2 linked regions of the Oreochromis niloticus genome follow. The protein of the gene in region 1 binds, or shares a complex with, the protein of each later gene. Links are inferred from orthologs where the notes say so. Each region holds a gene or a part of one and is shown on either strand. Other genes may lie near its edges.

What was found. The genes of interacting proteins can lie anywhere in the genome.
Region 2: the proteins of qtrt2 (region 1) and qtrt1 are in contact, whole or in part, in a crystal structure (PDB 7OVS), measured with the Mus musculus proteins. The link is inferred for Oreochromis niloticus from reciprocal best matches to the Homo sapiens genes QTRT2 and QTRT1. Residues at the interface, in NP_001343258.1 of Mus musculus: Arg39, Thr40, Gly41, Ser42, Ala43, Pro44, His45, Leu46, Thr47, His48, Gln49, Thr50, Asn53, Glu70, His71, Glu73, Val74, Glu77, Tyr78, Phe85, Ile86, Gly87, Phe119, Gln342, Glu343, Phe345, Tyr355, Asn359, His360, Ala363; in NP_068688.2 of Mus musculus: Thr50, Thr53, Met54, Lys55, Gly56, Ile57, Thr58, Thr59, Glu60, Gln61, Ser64, Arg80, Pro81, Leu85, Lys88, Ala89, Phe95, Met96, Asn97, Ala307, Lys308, Phe310, Pro320, Thr324, His325, Ala328, Phe329, Ala332, Leu333, His335.

The regions. Positions count from the first base shown.
Region 1 is NC_031974.2:18,640,303-18,648,208, forward strand, and holds the start of qtrt2 (queuine tRNA-ribosyltransferase accessory subunit 2), read right to left. Parts: upstream 3,016-7,906; 5' UTR 2,778-3,015; coding exon 2,560-2,777; intron 2,467-2,559; coding exon 2,411-2,466; intron 801-2,410; coding exon 724-800; intron 620-723; coding exon 410-619; intron 1-409. Other genes in the region: ccdc191 (coiled-coil domain-containing protein 191), read left to right, coding at 3,666-3,731, 4,411-4,449, 4,573-4,708, 4,821-4,973. UniProt on the Homo sapiens protein: Non-catalytic subunit of the queuine tRNA-ribosyltransferase (TGT) that catalyzes the base-exchange of a guanine (G) residue with queuine (Q) at position 34 (anticodon wobble position) in tRNAs with GU(N) anticodons (tRNA-Asp, -Asn, -His and -Tyr), resulting in the hypermodified nucleoside queuosine (7-(((4,5-cis-dihydroxy-2-cyclopenten-1-yl)amino)methyl)-7-deazaguanosine).
Region 2 is NC_031969.2:22,907,226-22,914,206, reverse strand, and holds the start of qtrt1 (queuine tRNA-ribosyltransferase catalytic subunit 1), read left to right. Parts: upstream 1-3,959; 5' UTR 3,960-4,044; coding exon 4,045-4,323; intron 4,324-4,442; coding exon 4,443-4,511; intron 4,512-4,623; coding exon 4,624-4,762; intron 4,763-4,875; coding exon 4,876-5,070; intron 5,071-6,619; coding exon 6,620-6,758; intron 6,759-6,981. Other genes in the region: dnm2a (dynamin-2), read right to left, coding at 3,374-3,534.

The sequences.
Region 1 (7,906 bases):
GTTTAAAAAAAAAAATAAATCTATTATCCACTGAAGCGTAAAAGAGCAAAGATGTCATATGCACGAGTCATGACAGTTCCCCCGCACCTCTTCCTATTAATCCTTTTTACTCAGTCCACCCTCTCATGGAATGAGCCACTCTTTGACTGCAATTAAAAGAAAGCAAAGCAGACTATTCTATTAGTCATGCTTGATGCTGCACCATCACACACCTGCTGATAGTGTAGATACCCACTGATAATGAATTCATCCTAATCTCACTGAGCTTCCAGCTGTAGTACAGATGCACAGCAGCCCCTGTCACAACTGCACTAACGTCAATCTTTGTCTTGTGTGTCTGTGCGATGCATGACTCACTCGCAAATGCAAGCGTGCTCAGCGGCTGCTAAAGTGTGTGTGTAGTGTATACCTTTGATTTTTGGTGCACCAGCAAACACTCGTCCAAATGAGCGAGAGTCCGATCCACCGACTTTCTGACCCGTTTGCGAGAGGCGCTGTTCTGCCAGGTCTCTCCGTCGTACATGCTCTGGTACCAGTCTGGCTGTACGGTCTTCTGAAGAGCCATGAACTTGGCCACCGTTAGTTCTATCCGCCCACCGCTGCCCCACACTGACACCGTCTAATAACAAAGCAAAAATATATGAAAAACCCATTTCACCTGTGATCACACCCAGCAGTAAAGTCACCAGGGCCTTTAGTTTACCACAGCATGAGCAATGTCACCTTGGTGGTGGTGTAACCCGTCGGGCTGGGCGTGGCAGGGTCGTGAAGGGAGCAGTAGAGGACAGTATCATGAAGACCTGAAACCAGACGTAACTGCATCACTCACAGAGAACACAGCAGCAAAGGGGTTAAGAGGGTCGAGCGTGAAGCCAGGTGACAGAGCGAGGCGCTTCGACTCTGCATGTTAATGTGACGACTGAGAGAGGAATGAGCCGTGTCCTTATCAGCAAACCCAGCCGCTGCAGAGGATCAGAAGGTGAGAAAACAAAACTGTCTAATAGCAGCAAAGGCTATTCAATCACTGCTTCTCCCTTCAGGGGCTTCAGAGGCAGAGGCAGTAGTAATCAATGATAGTTTATTCCAAGCGATGATACCGTGGTTACATGTCTAATTTTCTTAAAGTGGCTGCCTGAGGCTGGGTGAAGCCCAGGCCATGTCCACAGCAACACATTTTTGCTTTAAAATCCACAGCTTCTTCATTTACACCTACCCATCCCACCACTCTGGCATTTTAGCTTCCCTAAACGGGAGACTAAATAATTTTCAATGTATTAAAATAAAAATGCAGTTGCCATTTTTTTAAAGGTTTATATGGTTGGCAAGCATGGCACATTCACCAAAATACTGCACGTTTGTTTTCATTACTGTACTTCTAGAGGAGCTCAGACTGCGTTTATCCACACATGTCTAAATGAATGTGTTTATTATGAAGGGGGAAGCGTTACCCCCCCAAGTTTTCTAGCCACACCCATTATCAATTGAGAAATCACTTAAATAGGACCTGTATGAGAAAGTGGAGTAAAGCAAAAGAAAATACCCAAAATCATGCCATGATCCAAGAAAACTCAGGAACAAATAAAAAAATTTTTTTTATTGCAATCTATCAGTCTGGAAAAGGTTATCAAGCCATTTCTAAAGCTGTTGGACTCCAGCAAACCACAGTGCGAGACATTATCCACAAATGCTGAAAACATGGAACAGTGGTGAACCTTCCCAGAAGTGGCCGGCCGACCAAAATTAACTCAAGAGTGCAGCGACGGGGCTGCTTTGCTGCCTCAGGACCTGGAAGACTTGCTGTGGTAAACAGAACCAGGAATTCTGCCGCCTACCAAAACATCCTGAAGGAGAATGTCTGGCTATCTGTTCATGACCTCAAGCTAATCATGACCTCTCTTCTCTATATGGATTTTTTTTCTTTTGTTAACGTGTAATATGCCACCCTGGAGCTGCTCCAATCACAAATCCACTACTCTACACCCACAGGCACAGTAGTCTTCTGTGCTGTTAAATGTGTAACTGGTCAGATGTGCTAAATTAATTTATCGTGCCATAAATCTACTAAGAAACAACAATAATAATAGAGATAAATGGAAAAAGTCTGAATATCAGCTCCAATAATCAGATCGGCTGATAATCAGTCAACCCCTCTGCAACACTTCATAATCTCCATTTAGGTAAAAAAAAAAAGAAAGAAAAGAAATGATGATAGATTACCTATTAATCAATACTGAATACATATGAATACATTGGATAAGCTCTGGGTGTCATCGTAATTTATGCGTAATCAACGCTGTCTTGCTTGAACTCCTGTCGTCCTCTTCTTCTTCTGCTCTCATTACTCTCTGTAAGATAAACATGCTCAAAGGAAAGAGAGAAAGAGGGAATTCTGAAAAATGTAAATTTGTACCTGCGAATTTTCTGAATCCATCCTTAAACTCCTCCAGCACCTCCTGATGCTCAGCTCTAGAAGGAGAATGGTTGAGATGTGGGTTAGATTTGAAAAATAAAAGGAGATCACTGTGCTTGCTATGGCATTTCCATAATGAGACAGCTTACATGTGGGACAAAGTGATCTGAGTGACAGAGGGGAGGCTGATCAGCGTGTGCAGCGTGTCCTGAGTGAGGTGAGGAACGGTGCCAAAGTGTGTGTACAGCAGACACCCCGGGATCTCCAGTGAATGCTGCCCCGTCCTGCCCAGTCCCTTCAGGACACCCAGCCGACTTCTTCCCTGAACCACACGGGACAGCTCCAGTTGCATCCTGCTCCCAGCCATAGCAAAAACTCCAGTCGAAGCGCTAAAAGGACTCTCTCCAACAACTAGTACAAGTGTTACTGGTTTTGACTTAGCCACGTAGCTAGCTAGCCTTCCCACTCACACGTATTTGGAATATTTACCGCTCTAAGTCCGACACTTGGATAAAACCTACACACTCACAGGGATGATTGTTTACGTGAGAAACGCTGAAAATCAAATAGCTCACCAACAAAACCTCATGGGGTGACAGGAACTACAAGTCGCAGAAATATGTCGTCATCAGCGGCGAAGGCGCCGCAGAAAAAACAGTTCGGGTTATCTCAAGAACCTTTTTTTTCTTCTCAAAACATACAATTGTGGCGTTATAGATGGCACTCCATGTAGGAAAAGCTCTTTAAATTATAATTATATTTTAATAATTGAATTAAACATTCTAATAAATAAATATTTTACATTAAATTATTGAAAGACTTTAATTAAAAGCAAAGTATTTAACTACTTTAACTACTTTATTAATACATGTTTGTTATCTTTTTTTTAAATAGTGAATTTCAGTTCTCACTGAAGGAGCCTAACAAAATTGCTATGGTTACCCAAGACGCTGAACCCCCAGCTACAGTCTTGTGGGAAACGTAGTCCCGAAAATCTTAATTTGTGGAGCAGTTAGCCAAAAAAGAAAGCCAATTTACTCCATTACCCAGAATCCACCATAACAGTAACTCGACGAGAGTTATCTGCACCGCTTTTAGGTTTTCGAGCACTTTTTCTAATAACGTTTGAGCATATTTTGACGATAGAAACTGAAAAATGTTGACTGTTGCGCTTCGCGCACGATTTTAGTAAAGAAAAGACACCAATGTGATAGCTGGGATTACATCATATTAACGTGCAGTGCTGTAACAGGTGATGATGGCATTTCCAGGTCACAATCCTGACCTGTTTAGGTGGAGAAGAGTTGGCTCGGCAAACAAGGTAAGTCTAGTCTTTGGATTCGTGTAAATTTATAGACTGTGCTAAACTGAACGCTATGCTGCATCTGTCACGATTGGTTGGACTTCATTTTCCAAAAAAAAAAAAAAGGTAGGGGAATGAAACTGTGGCTTCACTGTTCCAGAAAATGAATCCGATGAGCTCATTTCAACCCTTTCTCTTATCTAAATGGGAAAAAAGGTATTTTTAGTCTATTTTCACCTTCCAAACCTTTCCCCAGTAATATCCCTGAGAGAGGGAAATAATTTGGCTAAATGCGCCTTGAAGGAAGAAGAAAAGGCACATCTGTGTTATTACCGTGTATAAACTCGTGGCTCATGTCAGGGGACCTTTCAGAAATGTCACCCGGCCCTATCTCTGATACTCACATGCTTGCAGGCAGCTAGCAATGGCACAGACTTTTGGACGTGTGAGAAATGATTTTGAACTAATCTGCTGATTTGAAGCAGTGGCTTAGCTTTTCTGTGAAATAATCCGCAGACTTTAGGCCCTTGGCTCAGCCTCCAATTTGCAGACTGCCACCGCAACTCAAGGTGTCTCTGAGCCTGTCTAGGCATTTTTAAGCACTCAAAGGTGACCATGAGGCCAGCATTTTTTTGTGTGTGAGAGCTCTTTGGTGTTTCTTACAGAGAATATTAGCTTACACTAATCTTTCTTTCAGATTCATGTAAAGAAAGGTGATATTGATCAATGGAAGAAGGTAAGAAATGTGTGTGCTCAGTTATATATATGTTTTTTATTTATTATTGAGTTGAATGTCTTTGGGGGTTTGGGAATTGTGTAACTTCAGCTTTTCATGTGTGTGTCCTTTCCCTGTCCTTAGCGAGTGGAGAAGGCCTCAGAGTTTGCTGTGTCGGAAGTCTTCTCCCACAAAAAACCTCATTCAGGAATCAGCAGCCTAGTTGTACCATTGCAAAGCACTGAACAGCTGAGAGATCATGACGAGGCTTACAGCGAAGGTAGGTGCCTTTAAAAAAAATTAATAGACCTGTCTGTGTAGAAATGCTATCTATATAACCACATAGAGTACAGCAAGAGGGATGATGATATATGGCCTGTTGTTTGTTGCAGCTCAGGCCCTTTTAGGTGACTGGCTGAGTAATAAGCTGCGGCTGGAGTTGGAGTTGGAGGATGAAGATGACCTGATGTGCTCTGCTGAGAGGACAGGCACAGCTGCATCAGCTAGTGCTGTGCCTGCTGCTTTAAACTACAACAACTTTGATGGTATAAAATATTACCTGATGAGATAACCCAAAACTCATTATTTATTAAGACCTTCTCCATTAGACCTGTGGGCCTGATGGACGAGGTGGTACAGAACACCTTTAAAGAAACAGTGACCTCTAGAAGATTTACTCATGATTATGGAAGGCTCATTCAAAATTCAGTGTGGGTTTTATATTGCTTCAAATGGCCTCTGACTGCTAGGCTTTATAAGAGTATTCAAAACAATCAGTATACAGTACCGTGCAAAGGTCTCAGGCCACCGCTCATTTATTTTTATTATTAAGAACCATACTTTCTTGTAGTTTCTTCACCAATAGTTCTCCAGGTCTCAATGTTTTTCTATATAAAGGTATATCAAAGTACACTAGAACTGGACTGAAAATCAGTGGCAACAGGTTTGATGGAGTGATGACTCCAAGTTTGAAAATTTTGTTTCAAATCATCAAAATATATTGAGGAGGTGCAACATTTATGTGTTAAACATGTTTTATGCTCTGTCGTGATTTGGGGCTGTATTTCACCAGTGGTGTTAGGGGTCTTGTAAAAATTGATGGAATTATGACCTCAGAAAAATAGGATCAAATTTTGATCCACCATTGCAACGCCAGCTGTAATGCATCTGACTGGCAGCATAATTTTTTATTATGATCTCAAACACACAGCCAATGCAGTGAAATCCTACCTGGATAGAAAAACACACAATGGAACATTGTCAGTCATGGATTGGCCTCCCCAGAGCATGGATCTCAACATTATTGAGGCAGCGTGAGATCATCTTCACAGAGAACAGAAGAAAAGGTAGCCAGCATCTAAAGAAGAGCTTTGACTGTCTTTTAAGAAACCTGGAGAGCTATTCCTGAACACTACTTTAAGAAATTAGAAGAAAACTGCCTAACAGAGTTCAGGCTGTGTTGACGAATCAAGGTGTTCGTACCAAATATCGACTTTCAAGCATTCAGTTCATTAGAATTGTACAAACTGTTTTTGCCTTTTACACTGCATTTCCATGTATGTTTGCACATTTTATAATAAATTAATTCACATTTCCTGCAAAATATAAAGAAAATATAAAGGTGGCTGAAGACTTTTGCACAGTACTATTTCAGTCTGCATTACAGTACAAAATGTTGCCTGACTTGGCCATCACACCATTAATCTTACAAGTATTGTGCAAGGAATTAAAAGCACTGGTTTCCAAGATACAGGGAGTGCAGAATTATTAGGCAAGTTGTATTTTTGAGGAATAATTTTATTATTGAACAACAACCATGTTCTCAATGAACCCAAAAAACTCATTAATATCAAAGCTGAATGTTTTTGGAAGTAGTTTTTAGTTTGTTTTTAGTTTTAGCTATTTTAGGGGGATATCTGTGTGTGCAGGTGACTATTACTGTGCATAATTATTAGGCAACTTAACAAAAAGCAAATATATACCCATTTCAATTATTTATTTTTACCAGTGAAACCAATATAACATCTCCACATTCACAAATATACATTTCTGACATTCAAAAACAAAACAAAAACAAATCAGCGACCAATATAGCCACCTTTCTTTGCAAGGACACTCAAAAGCCTGCCATCCATGGATTCTGTCAGTGTTTTGATCTGTTCACCATCAACATTGCGTGCAGCAGCAACCACAGCCTCCCAGACACTGTTCAGAGAGGTGTACTGTTTTCCCTCCTTGTAAATCTCACATTTGATGATGGACCACAGGTTCTCAATGGGGTTCAGATCAGGTGAACAAGGAGGCCATGTCATTAGTTTTTCTTCTTTTATACCCTTTCTTGCCAGCCACGCTGTGGAGTACTTGGACGCGTGTGATGGAGCATTGTCCTGCATGAAAATCATGTTTTTCTTGAAGGATGCAGACTTCTTCCTGTACCACTGCTTGAAGAAGGTATCTTCCAGAAACTGGCAGTAGGACTGGGAGTTGAGCTCGACTCCATCCTCAACCCGAAAAGGCCCCACAAGCTCATCTTTGATGATACCAGCCCAAACCAGTACTCCACCTCCACCTTGCTGGCGTCTGAGTCGGACTGGAGCTCTCTGCCCTTTACCAATCCAGCCACGGGCCCATCCATCTGGCCCATCACGACTCACTCTCATTTCATCGGTCCATAAAACCTTAGAAAAATCAGTCTTGAGATATTTCTTGGCCCAGTCTTGACGTTTCAGCTTGTGTGTCTTGTTCAGTGGTGGTGTTAAATGAATGGTAAATGGACTGATTCTTATATAGCGCTTTTCTACTCTCCCGGAGTACTCAAAGCGCTCTATACAACATGCCTCATTCACCCAGACACACCCACTCACACAAGCACTTCTAAGCTCAAGTGCAACTAATAAGCATTCACACACAGATGAACACATCGGAAGGCAATTTGGGGTTAGTATCTTGCCCAAGGATATTTGGCATGCAGACTGGAGGAGCCAGGAATCGAACCACCAACCTTCCAATCAGTAGCTGATCTGCTCTACCACCTGAGCCACAGCCACCCCAGTGTTGACTATTTTGAATGAAACGCTTGATTGTTCGATGATCACGCTTCAGAAGCTTTGCAATTTTAAGACTGCTGCATCCCTCTGCAAGATATCTCACTATTTTTGACTTTTCTGAGGCTGTCAAGTCCTTCTTTTGACCCATTTTGCCAAAGGAAAGGAAGTTGCCTAATAATTATGCACACCTGATATAGGGTGTTGATGTCATTAGACCACACCCCTTCTCATTACAGAGATGCACATCACCTAATATGCTTAATTGGTAGTAGGCTTTCGAGCCTATACAGCTTGGAGTAAGACAACATGCATGAAGAGGATGATGTGGACAAAATACTCATTTGCCTAATAATTCTGCACTCCCTGTGGAAGGAAATCAATATTAAAGCTCGAAATGTTGAAAAATGGTCATCAATAATGTGAAGCACAGT
Region 2 (6,981 bases), on another chromosome or scaffold:
GGAAGTCCTTGAAGATAGAGCTAAAATAGCTTGTTTCAGACAGCGGCTGAATTGAAGAGCTGCACAAAAGGAGATAACAACAAAGCCACTCTATTCCAGTGAGCATAATAGGTCCCCTTTAAACTTAACTGATCAAACACTTCAAAAAAATGTCTGCTTTTGCAGTGTAGTTGCTACAGATCTGATAATAACCTCCACCCAGGCCAGCTTGCACTACAAGATATGACGTCTTTGCTCCCAACTGACACAATGAAATTACAACACACCAAAGCCAAAACAGAGACATGGGTGTAATCAGCATCTCTGAACTTAAAATACTTGCACTGGTCCATAAATATTTCAGTAGAGTAACACACACAGAAAGAAAATTTGCTTATTATTCAAGATAGTTCTTAACTACACAGATTACTTTTTTCTTCGTAATATCTTAGTATATCTTCTGGTAAGGACCAGTAAGTTAACTCAAAGCAATACAGACTATTATAAATATTTATTTAGTCGATCAAGTCAGTGTTCAGTGTTGCAGTAAAACCTGAGGTCACTCATTAAGTTGGCTGGGTGGATAATGTAATAAGATTAGATGCGTACCAACAGACTGAAACACAAACTAATTTATTAAACTAACTTCTGCCCAGCAAGAATGTGGATCAACCACGCAAAACATATTTGTCTTCCACACTAACGCTGTTGAAAGCAGAGGCCAAAAGAATAGCAAGTTAGGTCACATGATCCCAAAACCTCCCCAACTTTTCCCCTCTCCAATGAAACCAGGAAATCTGAAGCAGAAACCAAGCCGCATCCGACATGCTTTTTGTGGCAGTCAAACATTTGCCAAATTAACAGTGAGGCGGTGAGGTCACTTGGCACCTGTGGATCATGACATCAGCATGAAGTCCAGGTGAGAGAGAGAAAGCGAGCAGCTTTTACTGTCTGTGGCAGAATCATCACTCCATTGTCCCAGTTGTTTTCCCAGCAATAAGTGACACTGTTTCTATTGTTGCTGGTACGTCAAAAGGTAAAAAAAAAAAAAAAGAAAACAGAGGGATTATTTTCATCCCATAGGACACAGAGATGAAGCCAGCCTTTTACACACAACATGCACCTCACCAAAGAAAAGACCTCAGTCACTGGGGAAATTACAGAGCAGCCATTACCGAGTGTAACAGAAGCTCAGTACTCATGGTGAAAAGAAAAGAGAACAACAACAAAAAATGGCGTAACCACAGAGAATTGCAAATGAAGTTTTCCACAACATCATAACACGCACCATTTTCATCTGCTTTGAATAAAAAAAAAAATAAAAAAATTGAGCAGAACACATGGTACAAAGTTTAGGTATCGGTTCAAACAAACCTTTTAGTCAACAATGACTCATGAGTTTGCCTATCACTTTAGCAGTGTACAGCAACTCCTAAAGTGTGCCTAGCCTGACTTATTTTACTACTCTAAATGATCTGCACAGCAGAAGGAAATTAAATTTTTCCCCAAATCAATCACTGGAGACCACTGATCTGTCTGAATCTCAGGACACCTATACGTAGCTTTGCCAACATACAGGTTTAGCAAGGGTTTTACAAGTGAAGTTAAAAAACAATTCAACATGTTCCTCCATTTGTTTCCAGTAGCCATGCCTCACAGGTGCCAAAAACAACCCAGCGTTAGCATCCCAATTGTGGTGTGTGGCTCACAGTGGCACTAATCCTGTACATAGCACTAATTGGATAATCATTAGTCCTCACATGGTTGTGTTTTTAGGTGTCATTTTAAAAATCAAGAAACAGCTGTTACATGTCAAAATGCCCAATGGAGGGAACAAATTCCAAGATCCATGCTTCAAGGTTGAAGTAAGACTGTTTCACCTTGTCAGCCCTCATTAAATTCACCCGCACAGCATCAACATGCAAACAGAGTAAATGCTGTTCTTTTCTATATTAAACACACCTTATGAAAGGTACATGAAAGTGAACAGCCTACAATGCTAAAATAATTTGTCAGCACGTGGATTTATGTTTGCCCTGTAAACACGCATAAAGTGGAAAACCAGCACGATAGCAAATCAAGGTCACCATGAAATGTCTCAAGTTAATTGCTGCCGATTTGTGTCGAGTGCTCTCCCAGGACAAAGTCCCACTCATCCGAATTACTGCACACTGAGTGGAAGTCTAATCTGCATGCATGTTCTTGCCCGAGAGTAGTTACAACATGCTCTTGTTTCCGTCTTTATAACCAAAAGCCTATGTGCATGTCATCTTGATAGCCAATGTGCCTTCTCCAGTCTGCCGACCAGCCTGCATATGTGTGTGGGTTGGGCTACACACTGATTGTCTCTCAAAGGAGGTGGAATCCTGTTAAACAAGCTACTACAGAGCAAACTTGTTATGTTTCTTTTTACTTCAGGGTGATCTCACTCATTGCTGTTGCAGGAGACAACAACAAGACCAGCCTGATGACAATGATAGAGCCAGTATGGTAAGGAGGACGGTAGATTATAAGCAATGCATCTCAAAAAACAGTGATGTCAAGTCTGTTTCCGTAATTTCTAAACGCTGGCCAAAAACAGAAACAAAAGAGGAAGATGGTAAAGGAAGTTATGTCTGCTACAGAAACATGTTGAGGAAATGTCAGTACTGTAAAGAGAGACAGTCTGCTTTGAGGTCAAAGTTTTGTGTCAAAATGCAATAAGCAGCTGTAAAAATACAAGTAGGTGACTTTCTGTCTACACTGCGATACCCCCTTACCCCATACACCTTGCCAGTTACGACCCAATAAAACTCCCTCCCTTGTAAAACAAACAGTCATCCCTCCAGCTTTTAAAATTGTTGGTAATGTAAATTCTGTAGGACTCTCAGGGTGTGGCCTGTAGTTATCAATATGAGAACAAAAGGGGGAAAAGCCCATTGAGCTAGATTGTAGGAAAGATTACGTGCACTAAGGTCTATTGAAAAAACGGCAACCCAGAACAAGCCTTTAATCATATTAGAAAAATACTAGGCAGGACAAACGAACTTATCAGCAAATGTAAGACAAGAGTTGGTGATCTAATCGAGTTGAAAAAAAAAAAATTGTAAGAAGTAAAGAAAAGAGAGAAAAAGCCCAAGTAAGCTTCTTTTTAAGCTCGTAACACAAATATCACACTACATAAATACACAAGAACACTGTATCTTAAATTGCTGAAGCTACAGCGCAAGTGCGTAAATCAATATTGACGTTACGTACTGGGAAAGTGACGTTAGCTTAGCTTTATGCGACTGGCATTTCCAAAAGTACCGTACCTCCCAGACCAAAAAAAAGGGCTGTTTGACAACGTACGACCAAGCATGGCCTGTTAGAAGGGCGTAACACTTCACTAGCTCATTTAACTATTATCACTTACCTGCCAACGAAATTCTCCAAGACCGAGCTTTTTCCAGCGCTCTGTCCACCGACCACCGCGATTTGAGGAAGGTCTAAATTACAACTCTGGCCAATGGAGCTGAATGCGTCTTGAAGCTTGTTGATGAGGGGAATCAGGTCTTCCATGCCCCGGTTCCCCATGGCTTCGTGAGCTTGAAGAGCCCCTTCAATTCAACACAGACCGGAGGCTAATGCTAGCCGCGCTAGCGAGCTCAGTAACGTTAGCTTAGCAGCAAGGTGCTCTCGGGTTACTCTGAAGTGCTAAAACCCCGCCTCTTCAGCTCGGGCTTTTATTCACTTTTTGAATACTTGTGCGCTTCCCAGTAATGCAGTTCACACCAATATCATATCATATAATAACAAAACCCCTCAACTAAATACCCAGACAGTCGAAACGGACGGAAAACTCGCAAGCAAAACTTCCTCTACACAAACACCATCCGGTCACAGAAGATGACATCCTATCGGTGCCGGTTACTATAGCCCCGCCTCTTTTGCACAAATAAAAGCGGTTTGTTGGCTAATGTTGCTGCCGCTTCACCAAAATTCGTTTTGATTGGACGTCTTAAGGCTCAAATCACATAATTAATTTTTAATTGGTCGTCACGATTGTCAGTTGGAGGTCCGTTCATGTCACGTGATCAGTAAAACATGGCTGCCCCCATAGAGTGTGGAGCTAATACAGAAACTATAGAGAACAACATGTCCCTAAAGAAAGCTTTGTCTCCTCTCTCTCTGCGAATTGTTGCTGAATGCCCAGTAACTAAAGCGAGAGCCTGTGATTTAATACTGCCTCATAGCACCGTCAGTACCCCGGTTTTCATGCCCGTCGGGACTCAGGGGACCCTGAAGGGAATCACTGTGGATCAGCTGGAAGATCTGGGATGTCAGATTTGCCTTGGAAACACATACCACCTTGGAATGAGACCGGTATGCAGGTTTGCTATAACGCAAATTTAATTTTTATCTCGTGTTTTACTGGGCATAAACCATTTGTTGACGATTTCATGTCAGTTTTCTTGTGTAAATGTCTTTTCTGCTGCCTAAAGGGTCCTGATTTGATTGAGAAAGCCAATGGTTTGCATGGGTTCATGAACTGGAAGAGAAATCTTTTAACTGTGAGTTTAACTTCACATTTTATTTGTCATACGTGGGTGACAAATAAAAGTACAACACGTGGCTGGAAATCTTTGTCTTAAAAACCACGCGTTTCTTTTTCTTTGCTCACAGGACAGTGGGGGGTTTCAGATGGTGTCTCTCGTCGAGCTCTCCGAAGTTACGGAGGAAGGAGTCAAGTTCAGGTCCCCCTACGACTGCAAAGAAATCTTACTAAGTCCTGAGAAGTCTATCAGCATACAGAACAGTCTGGGTCAGCAAGGAGTAAAATAACTGACTCAGCGTTAACCATCAGATACTCTGAGCTTTTGTCAGTATTTCTGTGGCTGACGGACAGCACCTTCATGTTTCTTTGTGTTCTTCCAGGGTCAGACATCATGATGCAGCTGGATGACGTGGTCAGCAGTACTGTGACAGGACCACGGGTAGAAGAGGCCATGCATAGATCCGTTCGCTGGCTGGACCGCTGCATAGCAGCCAATAAAAATCGAGACAAACAAAACCTCTTTGCCATCATTCAGGGAGGATTGAATGCAGAGCTGCGCAAGGCCTGTCTAGATGGTAAAAAACAAACAGAGGCTGATGCTTACACTGAGATTCCTTTAATGATAAATATATTTTGGCTGATGTGCTTTACAAACACACATTGATATAAAGGCTGAAATTTGACTGTTAAGTCCTTTAAGATCCCCCGTTTGGGATCAGATTGATCTAAAATTGGCAGGCATGCTGGAAGAAAAGCACACAGGGAAATGTTCTTGCTTTTTGATGGTACTATCTTATATATTCAGACAGTATGTTAGTTAGGTTAAAGTGGGGGAATTATTAGTTTTGTTTATCACAAACTATCAGTGAAATGTGAAGATGCTGATGCATCCTCACCACTGTCTGCTCAGCTGATGTGCCCTCTGCTACATGTGCTGCAGAGGATATGTGCTGAGTAACAGCTTCTCGAATAAAAAAAAAAAAAGCCATATTAGACATACGTGGGGTGAGCTAAAATTTGGCACTTTTTGTGGCACTATTCACTGTATTTTTCCAGCATTTTAGAGCTGAAATAACTTAAATGCAGAATATAGTCACATTAAATTCTCCGGGCTGAAAAAACACACTTGGGCTGTGTTTTAAAAAAATCAATTTTACACCCATTCAAATGTCAGAAGTCAAAATCAAATCTCATCTTTTTTCAGCTTGTTTTTTTGTTTTTTTATAACCTGCTTTTGAGCATCAATATCAGAGAGACATAACCGTTTCAACACCACAGTGTCCCCAGTTTACAAGTTAATCTTGGTAACCCTGGGTTTTTTATGTGTTTTCTAATAATTCACTGGAGAAAACATCAAAAAGCACATTTTTGTAAACTGCACAGGGTTATATTATTACATGAGATGGGTGTCTGGTCAAAACAAGTTACAGTAAATACATTTACCTACATTTGATACCATTTTATAGCCGTGATTTATTCTTTGTCAAATTTTCTAACGTCTTAAAAAATCTGTGTATCCACCAATATTTACTTTAAGAGCCTAAAAACTGGGAAAACATTTTTTTTGGAATAGCTTCATAACACATACCAAGTTTTTGTTGTTTTTTTTTTTTTTTTTACAAGGAAATTTGTTGCTTCTAAGGAGCTCAGGTGGGAGGCACTTACTGGATTTTCTTTCTTTTTTTTCCATGGACTTACATGACTGTATGCTGATGACCACTAGATCTATTATGTGCTGATACTGGTCAAAATTAACAGGCAATTAACATGAGTGGGTCTCCAGTAACTAATCTTGCTTTTTCTTTTTCTTCATGTACCGATATTGAAAATCAAGCTGAATAATTTCATCATTTTTCCATCTTATTTATGGAGGATGAAAACATGCTAAAATGCCTTGATCCCTTTTTCCTTTTACACTTATTTCAGTAAGTGGAAAAGTGGCAGCATTAACTAGAAAGTTTACATGGTTCAGTCTATTGAGGAAGCATATGTGAATCAAAGATATCAGGGCGTGGTGAGGAACTAATCCGAGTTATTTAAAGGGCCATGCAGTTTGGAAAGGACATCAGAATTCAAGATAAAGGATCAGACTTTCACTTAAGATATTGTTTTGTCTTCCTGTAGAAATGACTAAGCGTGACGTTCCTGGTTTTGCCATTGGTGGACTGAGTGGAGGAGAAGAGAAGGATGACTTCTGGCGGATGGTGACACTAAGCACTGATCACCTGCCTCGGGAAAAGCCCCGCTATCTCATGGGTGTAGGGTATGTTTACTGGTTTCACTGAAATCCATCATGGTAACCTGGTTGTTTACCTCCTGAGCCTGGTTCTGCTGGAGGTTTCTTCCTGTTAAAAGGGAGTTTTTCCTTCCCACTGTCTCCAAAGTGCTTACTCATAGGGGGTCATATGATTGTTGGGTTTTTCTCTGTATGTAATATTGTAGGGTCTACCTTACAATATAAAGCGCCTTGAGGCAACAGTTGTTGT